Linked DNA regions of Cricetulus griseus. Each later gene encodes a partner of the first gene's protein in a complex. Links are inferred from orthologs where the notes say so. Each region holds a gene or a part of one and is shown in the gene's direction. Other genes may lie near its edges.

Region 1 (4,823 bases):
CCCTTAACCCCAGCACTTGGGAGACAAAGGCAGAACTCTATGAGATCTATTGATCATTGAGTTCTAGGTCAGCCTTAACTACATAGTGTGTTCCAGAATAGCTCGGGCTATATAGAGACTTCGTCTCAGAAAATCCAAAATAAAGCAAAACAAAAACAGCAACAACAAAAATAGCAGGGTTAAGGCAGGCGGTGGTGGAGCACATCTTTAGTCCCAGGATTCTGGAGGCAGAGGAAGGTGGGTCTCTGTGAATCCAAGACTAGCCTGGTCTACAAGATCTAGTTCCAGGACAGGCTCCAAAGCTACACAGAGAAACCCTGTCTTGACCTCCCCCCCACCAAAAAAATACCCAAACAAACTGAAGGGACCAGCTCCCCATTTCGGCAGACATGACAGTAACACGTGCTTGCCATGACCTTGTCCTAGTCACTAGAAAGTCAGATGCCTGCCTGTGGCAAGGAACCAATCAGAAGTTAGCTGGTGGCGCTATGCTTTACGGCTCTGGGTGTGCTTTATGGACAAGTGCACAGCAATGGCTTGAAGAGCATGGCAACCACCCTGGGAGGGCCTATGGGCCATAACAACCAGTTGGCCAATCAACACAGGGCAAGCCCTCCAAGCCTGGAGGCACACCAATCCTGAGCCTGTGTGTACCCCTAGACACTCCCCTTATTGCTGCCCTATAAGATCTCTATGCAGACTCTTCGAGCTGTCTTTGCTATCCGAGCTCGTTAAACAATAAAGCCTTGTGCAGTTTGCAGCAAGCTTTCGAATCTGCCTGGTGATTAGGGTGACCACAGTCCTGGGCTGAGACCCTGGAGGCCTGAGGTTTTCCGGGGTTCTAACAAAACCAAACCAAAACAGGCTTAAGGGCAAGGAGTAATGATAGACCGGCTAATTTCCATGGAACTCAGACTCTTATTTTCAAGCAGTAAATTCGGAGTTTAGGAGGAATCCATTGCATCATTTATGCAGCCTTAACTATGAACTATTGTTTTTTTCCCAATGACTTTAAGGTTGCCTCCCTTTAGCTTTTACTCATTAATGCTTGTTCACATCTGTGTAATAATCTGCCCATTAACCGATCAGTCCTTCACAGAGTATTTTTCCAAACATCTCAGGCCAGTCTTCAGGGTCATCTTCCCTCGCAGCGTCCCCCTTCTCATACGACACTGCAATTCCACTATCCACCTCCATAATCAATACACGGCTGCCAATGTCCCTCTTGAGAGCGGACTCCAGGCCGATCGCCAGAACACTCCACGTTGATAAGCGAAACACGGACTCTTGCTCCAACTGTGAAGGCAGCAAGATGCTAAAAACTGTAATGAAAATAACTTTCAGAGCAGCAATCAGAATCGGCAATGCACCCCCTGGCCACACTCCGGTCTTGCGATGGGAACCTTCCAGTTTCTGGCTGGCACAGATCAAGGTGTAATCAGGGCCAAACCAAGGCGAAGGCGGAAGCTAACACCCACTTCCGGGTCAAGCCTCTTCTGGCGAGGCTCTTGGGCTCTCCCCCCAGGCCACGCCCGACGGAGGGCGGGGCTACGCAGCGCGCTACCCGAACGCCGGCCGGCTGGTTATGCGCAGGCTCACAGGAAGCGCTCGCTGAGGACTTCCGGAGAGGGTTTTCCCTGACAGCCCGCGGCGTGCGATCGGGCGAGCGTGGCGCCGGGGAGAGCTGTGTGAGCGCCCCGCGGTTCTGGGAGCGTCAGTTGCGGGCCGGGAGGTTTAGGTTACCGTGGCGGCGCCGCCGCCGCCAGTCTGAGGACTCGGGGCTCGCGTCAGGCGTCCGCAGCGTCCGTGGGGCCGACCTCACTGAATTGAGGCGTCGCTTCAGGCTTTGGCGCCCCACGGTGGAGTCGGCTTTCCTACAAGGCTTAGTGCGCGCTCGCGGGGCCGGCCGCCCCCAGGTGAGGTGGAGCAGCACCCCGGGGCTGGCCCTGCGCCCTCCCCGCGGCGCGGTGACTAACCACGCACCCTCAGCCTCCCGCGCCGCAGGGAGACGCTGCTGCCAGTCAGCAGGCTCGAGACCCGGGCCCGTCTCCAGCGTCGCGGAAAACACACACACACACACACACACACACACCAGCAGCGCCAGAGCACTCACCCTGGACCAGTCTGAAGGTGTCCGGAGCCAGGGTGGCGCCGTAGGATTGCAGAAAGGAGGGGCGTTTGGTGGAATTCTAAATCGCAGTACCCGAAGCTTCAATACCGGATAGGTACTCAGAACTGGGGTCTGCACCCTTTCGACAGTTCAATCCAAGGTCAGTGGCATATGGCTGCTTTTGTAGAGTCATTTATTTGCCATGGCCCCCTGCCCACCTCCTAGCCATTTTTTTGGTCACACCAGCTAGTCTGTGTGCTCTGCATTTGCTAGACTCCTGTCTTCACTCCTTTTGGTCATGTTACGTATTTTGTATAAGTCCTTCAGCCTTCCTTCCTTCCTTCCTTCCTTCCTTCCTTCCTTCCTTCCTTCCTTCCTTCCTCTGCCACCACCACCCAGCAAGTCCTACAGTTTTCATTACTAAGTGGGAGAGAATAGGGTTGCTGCTGCGATTAAATTAGATATTTTATAGTCTAAGTATGTAGTTAAGTCCCAGTAAATACTAGCTCCTGCTGTTACTGTACTTGCTATATTGTGTTATGTATTCTTCAGTTTCTTTATGTAGCTTTAGCTTTTTTACTTTGTAATTAAGGATGTCTCATTTTTGTATGTTCTTGGTTCAGAGCTTTGCAGTATTATGTTTTATGGATTTTAGAAACTTTTTATTTTACATGTGTGGGTGTGTGCCTGCATGTGTGTGCCTATGTTCTGTTGTGAAGGTGGTTGTATGCCCTGGGACTAGGGTTCCAGAAGATCATGAACATGGGTGCTGGGAACCAGCACAGGTCCTCTAGAAAAGCAGCAAGTGCTCTTCACTGCTGAGCCGTCTCTAGTCCCCAGACTTCTATTTTTAAAAAATGTGACTTGAGTTTAGGCTGTTGTTGACTTAAACAGATTCAGTGTTTCCTTGAAAAGAACTGTCAGATACAATGGGCCCTGCTGCTCAGGTGACTTTGCTACAAGAAAAGATTGCTTTTCAGCTCAAGTCAGGTGCCTGTGGGTTAACGTGTACTGACGCTAACTGATACTCTCAGTTTGGAATAGATATGAGCGATTTCGATGAAGAATTGACAAAGCTTGCTTTGGCAGAGGATGGCAAGAGAGAAACCTCTGTGTTCTCTAATCCAGGAATGCATTTCCCGTGGCTTCAGGAGCGAATAGAGACTGTAGGTAAGTGGGACAGCACTTTCACTTTAATGCAACTAAGTGTCGAGACTGAACACAGCTACAAAGTGAATGACCAAGCCAGGTCATTTTTCCTCCCCCTTAATTTCTGTTGTTGTTATTGTTGTTAGACAGGGTCTTGCTGTTTATCCCTGGCTTGCCTGGAACTCACTTCATGTAGCTCAGGCTGGTTTAGAACTCCTGGTTGTTCTTGCCTTAGTCTCCAGGTGCTAGGGTTACAGGTGTGAATCAGGGTGCCTAATATTGTAATAAGATTAGATGGGGGTTTCCCTTTTCTTTCTTACAGCTGGAGACAAAAAGGAAATTAGAAGAAGTAGCTTTTTTTTTTAAATTTTATTTTATTCTTTTGGTTTTTTAACACAGGGTTTCTCTGTGGCTTTGGAGGCTGTCCTGGAACTAGCTCTTGTAGACCAGGCTGGTCTCGAACTCACAGAGATCTGCCTGCCTCTGCCTCCTGAGTGCTGGGATTAAAGGCGTGCACCACCATGGCCTGGCCCTTTTTAAAAAATAATACACAGTCTATATTATGAACTACACATGTATAAATTTATATATATGAATATAGTTCTCTTTACTGAGCACTTGTATTTGGCATTGGCAGAATATTGGGGACGTACAGATGAAGAAAATGTGGTCTCATTGAGGAGCACATACATAGGAAATGTTAAGGAAATTTCTGTTGAGTTTAATGGAAATGGTTCCTTATAGCATTGATGTAATAGGTTTAAAAGGCATCTTTCTTCATTTTTAATCTAATGTAGATGCAGACAATGCTTTTAGTGGGTTAACGTCTATAGGACTATATGAAGAAGCCGTGGTGGAATGCTGCATGGGTCAGACCTTTAAATACACTTAAACCTGCACTTTTCTTATTACTCTCCATGCATTTCTTGGCTCCAAGAATTTAGCTCCCATTTAAAAAGAAAAATTCATTTAGTTTTATATTCCCAGTAATTTAGTCCTCAGTAAATGTGAGGACACTGAATTGCAAAGAAATTAAACTCGCCCCCCCTCCCCCAGGTTTCTCTGTGGCGAAATTAAACTCTTAAGTAATGATATAAGGAAGCAAATCAGGTCTGTCTGATCTCAAGTCCTGTACTTCTAAACATAAAGAGGTAGATGGAACTTGGCCTGAGAGCAGTCTTCTCTTAGGTGGATAAAGGCTATTTGAACAGATACTGTGCCAGTTTTGTGGGCTGGTTGCCTGGAATTGTGATCTAAGCAGCTTAGTAGCTCTTACTAAATGCAGTGATTGCTTCAGAGAGCCAGCTGAGGCATGAGAGGCTCCATCCCTTTCCTTCCCATCTTTCTCTCCTCTCCTTCTTTCTCTCTTTCTTTTCTCTGTTTCTAATTAGCTTTCAGATAATTCCAGTACTGCTGGTTTCACAACCTCTTTGAGTATTGAAGGCTGCAGATCCTGGTGTTTGTAGTGTGCATTAATTAGGTCTATGCTATAGTCTTCCCCCTCCAGGCCTCCTCAGGACAGGGTCTTGTTGATCAGCCTTGACTAGCCTGGAATTTGCTACAC
Region 2 (4,826 bases), on another chromosome or scaffold:
CAGGCGGATCTCTGAGTTCGAGACCAGCCTGGTCTACAGAGAGTTCCGGGACGGCTAGGATACACAGAGAAACCCTGTCTCAAAACAAAACAAGCAAACAAACAAAAAACAACAACAACAAAACACAGGGAAGGAAGGAAGGGATGGAGGCAGGGAGGGAGGGAGGGAGGGAGGGAGGGGGAGGGAGGAGGGAGGAAATACAAGAGCTAGAGAGGTAGCTCAGCATGTAAGACCACTTGCTGTTTTTGCAAAGGACCAAGTTCAGTTCCCAGCACCCACGTAGGGCGGCTTCTAATAGTCTGTAGCTCCAGTCCAGGGGCTCCGAGGACCTTTTCAGGTCTCTGCTGGCACTAACACAGACAACTCAAAGTAACAACGAAATCTTAGCCGGGTGGTGGTGGCGCACACCTTTAATCCCAGCACTCAGGAGGCAGAGGCAGGCGGATCTCTGTGAGTTCGAGGCCAGCCTGGTCTCCAGAGTGAGTGCCAGGACAGACTCCAAAGCTACAGAGAAATCCTGTCTCGAAAAAACCAAAAACACAAAACAAAGAAACAACGAAATCTTAAAATCTCAGACGTCTAATGTAAGCCCCCTGGAAGCTCAGGCCTCCAGAATCCTTTCCCAGGACTGCGGCCATCCCAATCATCATGAGGAGTCGGAAACTTGATGCAAACAGCAAGAGGCTTTAATGAAAGGTAGACGTTTGTACGAAGGGGCTCTCTCAGCATGCAGGCTAGAGAGCAGCCCCGTCCCCCAGGCACAGGCCTTTTTAAAGGCAAAAACCACAAGCTTAGGGAGGGGTGTGACCAGAGTCACAGGTGCCTAAGAGACCCTTTGTCTTGAGGAGAGGGCTGGGAATCAGATGGCCTCCTGACCCACCAGCTGTAAAACCTGCAGACCTCAGGATATGCTTAGCTTGCTTGAGCAAATGGTACCTATCTCTTTGTTTCACAGGGACACTTAATTGTTAATGATTGACACATTGGCCGGTGGGGCAATCTGTTTTTTTCATGAGCCCCTCGGGGAGGGTGGCCATCTGGGAATTCTTGGTACCCAGTTATATTATGGCCTTGTAAGGGAGTAATTGCTTGCGGCTGGTAAATTCCAGGCCCTAAGTCCTAATAGTGGCCTTAGTTTCCGAGTTAGGCCGCCCTACATTCAGTTTGGAGAGTTTCCTTATCTGGGCTATATTTCTTTGCTAATTTTTAAGTCTTTCACTAGCAAGTGAGAAGCCACACCACCCTTTCTCTACAGCCGGGGCTTAGCCCGGCAGACACACCTGACCGCCCTAGGATTGGGGAGACTTTGTAGCGTGGCTGAGGGCGAGCGTTTAACAGGCTGCTGGGCTGTGTGCGGAGGAAGCAGCTCAAGCGACCGTTTTCCTGAAGATTCACCCCTGCGAGCCACCGAGCTAAGCCAACGGTCCTGAAAAAAAGTATTTTTAATTGACATCTCCGGGGCCTGGGGGAGAGCCGCGCGCTGAAGGGCAGCCAAACAAAAGAGAACCCTGTGCAAACGGCGACGAGCAAATGGCGACGAGCAAATGGCGACGAGCCCGAGTCTCGAACCCGCGACCGCCGCCGGAGCGAGAGCTGCTTTCGGCTTCCGCCGTCGCCTGTGCCCAGCCCGGGCTCTCGGCGGCGGAGGGGACGGGGCGGGGGCGGGGCTCCTGCGCGTCATTAGGCAGCGCCGGAAGCGCGCGGTCCGCGCCGGTAGTGAGTCCGTCACTGAGGACGCGGGGGAACGTTTGTGTGCGTACCGAGACTCTGCTTGGAGCCGCGGAGGTGAGAGATCGGTCTGAGGGCAAAAAAACTGGCTTTAGAAGGTTTTAGAAAGTTCCCGGGTGCCCGGGAGAGCTGGCTCCACGCCGCCTGGGCGCTCGGGAAACGGAGGCAGGGGACTGCCGCCTTCAGCAGACGGACGCCCGGGCTTTGGGGTTGGCTTGGGCGATGAAGTGAGTTCCGGGCCAGCCTGGGCTACCAAGTGGGGAGCCTCTCAAAGAGCCAAATAAACGTAAATAAATGGTCGGTGACTGGGCTGGAGGGGCGGCTCAGAGGTTAAGAGCGCCGATTGCTCCTCCAGAGGTCCCGGGTTCAATTCCCAGCACCCACATGGCAGCTCACAGCTGTCTGCAACTCCAGTTCCAGGGGACCTGACACCCTCACACCAACGCACATAAAATAAAATAAATTTAAAAAATGATTTATGACAAGATCCCCGGCGGAGTTAGCGGATTTTTGTGGGTTTTTTTTTTTTTTAGTTTATTTGTTGTTTGGTTTTTCGAGACAGGGTTTCTAAGTTTATTTTTATTTTTTGTGCATTGGGTATTTTGCATGGATGTCAGCTGGGTGCCCTGGAACTGGGGTTGCACACAGTTGTGAGCTGCTATGTGTGTGCTGGGAATTGAACTCAGGAGGAGCAACCGGTGCTCTTAACCTCTGAGCCATCTCTCCAGCCCCCCCCCCCTTTGCTTCTTAGTGTCGGGAGACGCTGGGCACACAGAGAGCTGTGCTTAGCCTCGGTTTCCCCGAGTGTAAAGAGTGATGCCCTCTGGCACCTTCAAGAGTGTCGTAGACCTTCGAGATGGATTCTGTGTTGTTGAGAATGTGTTTCCTCCTTCAGACCCAGCCCACAGTTGGTGGGGAAGGGGGGGTTTCAAATAAGGAATTATGATTTTTTTCCCCCTCATTCTGTAATACTGGGGTTTGATCCTCGAGCCGCTGTGTTCTGGGCAAACATTCTACACCTGAGATTTTCTCTTCACCCCGGAATCAGGACCTTGCGTAGCTGCTGGGGAAAAGGGAGCCTGGTTGGTTTTGTGTGATGATCTTGTTATTCAAGCTTTGGCTCTGATTTCAGGCACTAGCAATGGACGCGCAGAAAGACGTCCAACCCCCAAAGCAGCAGCCGATGATATATATTTGCGGAGGTAAGATTAACATTTAAGTAGGAACGTTTTTTGTTGTTGTTTTGGTTTTTTGGTTTGTTTGGCTTTTTTTTTTTTTTGCTTTTGTTTTGTTTTTTTGAAACAGGGTTTTTCTGTGGCTTTGGAGCCTATCCTGGAACTCACTCTGTACACCAGGCTGGTCTCCAACTCACAGAGATCCCCCTGCCTCTGCCTCCCTAGTGCTGGGATTAAAGGTATGTGCCACCAATGCCCTGCTTAAGTAGGAACATTTTACCTCAACTTTCCATATATGAGTACTGATCTTCAAAGTTATAAAGCGGAGCACTCAGGAGGCAGAGGCAGGGGGATCTCTGCGAGTTCAAGTGAAACACTTTAGCATCATTAATGTAAAAGTCCCTCGTTAAGATTTGTCTTTTCATCAGGAAAAGGTACGCTGCCGACAGCTCTTTTCTTTCCTCCTTGGTGTATTTAGTTTCGGGGCTTTGACTTGCTCTGGCGAAGTCTGTGGTTATATTTGGTTCCCTGTAGTGTTTCTCTTTCAGGCATTGACTGAACGTGTTTTATTCCCTAGAGTGTCACACGGAAAATGAAATAAAGTCCAGGGATCCAATCAGATGCAGAGAATGTGGATACAGAATAATGTACAAGAAAAGGACAAAAAGATGTATCCTTCTGACTGGGCTTTCTAAACGTAAAGAGGAATAACTAATACTCGGTTGATAAAGACCAAGTTCTGACAAAAGTAGCAACTTTTGGGTTGTTTATTTTTCTAAGCAGATTGAATGTGACTTTATTAATGAAGAGTTTATTAACTGAGAATGTGGGGGGCTCTGAAGGACGTAAATGTATATTATTTTAATATGAATTATTTTTCACCAAACTTGGAGAAAAGAGGCAGGCAGAGCTTTGTGAGTTCAAGGCCAGCTAGAACTACTAAGTGAGACTCAGTGTCAAAAAAAACAAATAGGGGCTAGAGAGACTCGTCAGCAGGCAGGTAAGGGCATCGGCTGTTCTTCCAGAGGACCTGTGTTCTGTTTCTAGCACCAACATAATTACTCATGATCCTCTGTAACTCCAGTTTCGGGGGTCTGATCCCTTTTTCCGACCTCCACCTGTACAAAGGACCCAAGTGTGTGTGTGTGTGTGTGTGTGTGTTTAAAAAACCCTGTAAGTGATTTTAGCTTTTATTTTACTTTTTTTTTTTTAGTTCAAATTAGAAACAAGCCTACTTCGATTGTCAATCCCTGCTCCCTCCTCTCTCTAGCCCTTCACCAACTCACCACATCATCCCCCCCTCTGCTCCCCAGGGAGGGTAAGGCCCTCCATGAGGTATCCCCAAAGTCTGTCATATCGTTTGGGATAGGGCCTAGACCCTCCCCCATGTGTCCAGGCTGAGAGAGCATCCCTCCACGTGGGATGGGCTCCCAAAGTCCTTTTGTACACCAGCTCTTTTTTTTTTAAGTAAACATGATTAGTGTTTTCGTGCCATTCATTATGGGCTCTAAGTAATTAAAAAATTAATCAATTTGGGTTTATGTAAATGTTTTTAGTTTTTTCAGGAATTCTTTGTTAGAAGTAGTCACTCTTGATTGTTAGCTTATGGGTAATCTAAAGTATGGGAGGAGAAATTAATAACCTAGTGGAAAATAGGCCTACAAATTAGTCCAAATACTGAAATTGTTTCAGTGTAACTGACACAGACTCTCAAAATCATCAGTGTTTCAGTGTTTTAAAATATCTTTTTCGTATTATCTTTTAAAATTTACCTATATTGTTATCTTCTGTGTAATAGAGAGTGAACTAATGAAAATGGAAGCTGAGTATTTTATTTTTTTAGATTATCTCCAGTGGCCATAATGAAGTTCAGTCTTTTGTTCGTTTTATATGAAACAGCAAGCTTGGTGCAGAGGTGGTGAC

What was found.
Region 2: Taf1a (region 1) and Polr2k share a complex: the UniProt entries of both Homo sapiens proteins name them as parts of the pol I pre-initiation complex. The link is inferred for Cricetulus griseus from reciprocal best matches to the Homo sapiens genes TAF1A and POLR2K.

Annotation. Positions count from the first base shown.
Region 1 is NC_048598.1:11,100,630-11,105,452, reverse strand, and holds the start of Taf1a (TATA box-binding protein-associated factor RNA polymerase I subunit A), read left to right. Parts: upstream 1-1,611; 5' UTR 1,612-1,916; exon of another isoform or gene 1,917-2,270; intron 2,271-3,144; exon of another isoform or gene 3,145-3,154; 5' UTR 3,155-3,156; coding exon 3,157-3,280; intron 3,281-4,823. UniProt on the Homo sapiens protein: Component of the transcription factor SL1/TIF-IB complex, which is involved in the assembly of the PIC (pre-initiation complex) during RNA polymerase I-dependent transcription.
Region 2 is NC_048603.1:15,288,018-15,292,843, reverse strand, and holds the start of Polr2k (DNA-directed RNA polymerases I, II, and III subunit RPABC4), read left to right. Parts: upstream 1-1,688; 5' UTR 1,689-1,785; intron 1,786-2,860; 5' UTR 2,861-2,869; coding exon 2,870-2,930; intron 2,931-3,480; coding exon 3,481-3,573; intron 3,574-4,826. UniProt on the Homo sapiens protein: DNA-dependent RNA polymerase catalyzes the transcription of DNA into RNA using the four ribonucleoside triphosphates as substrates.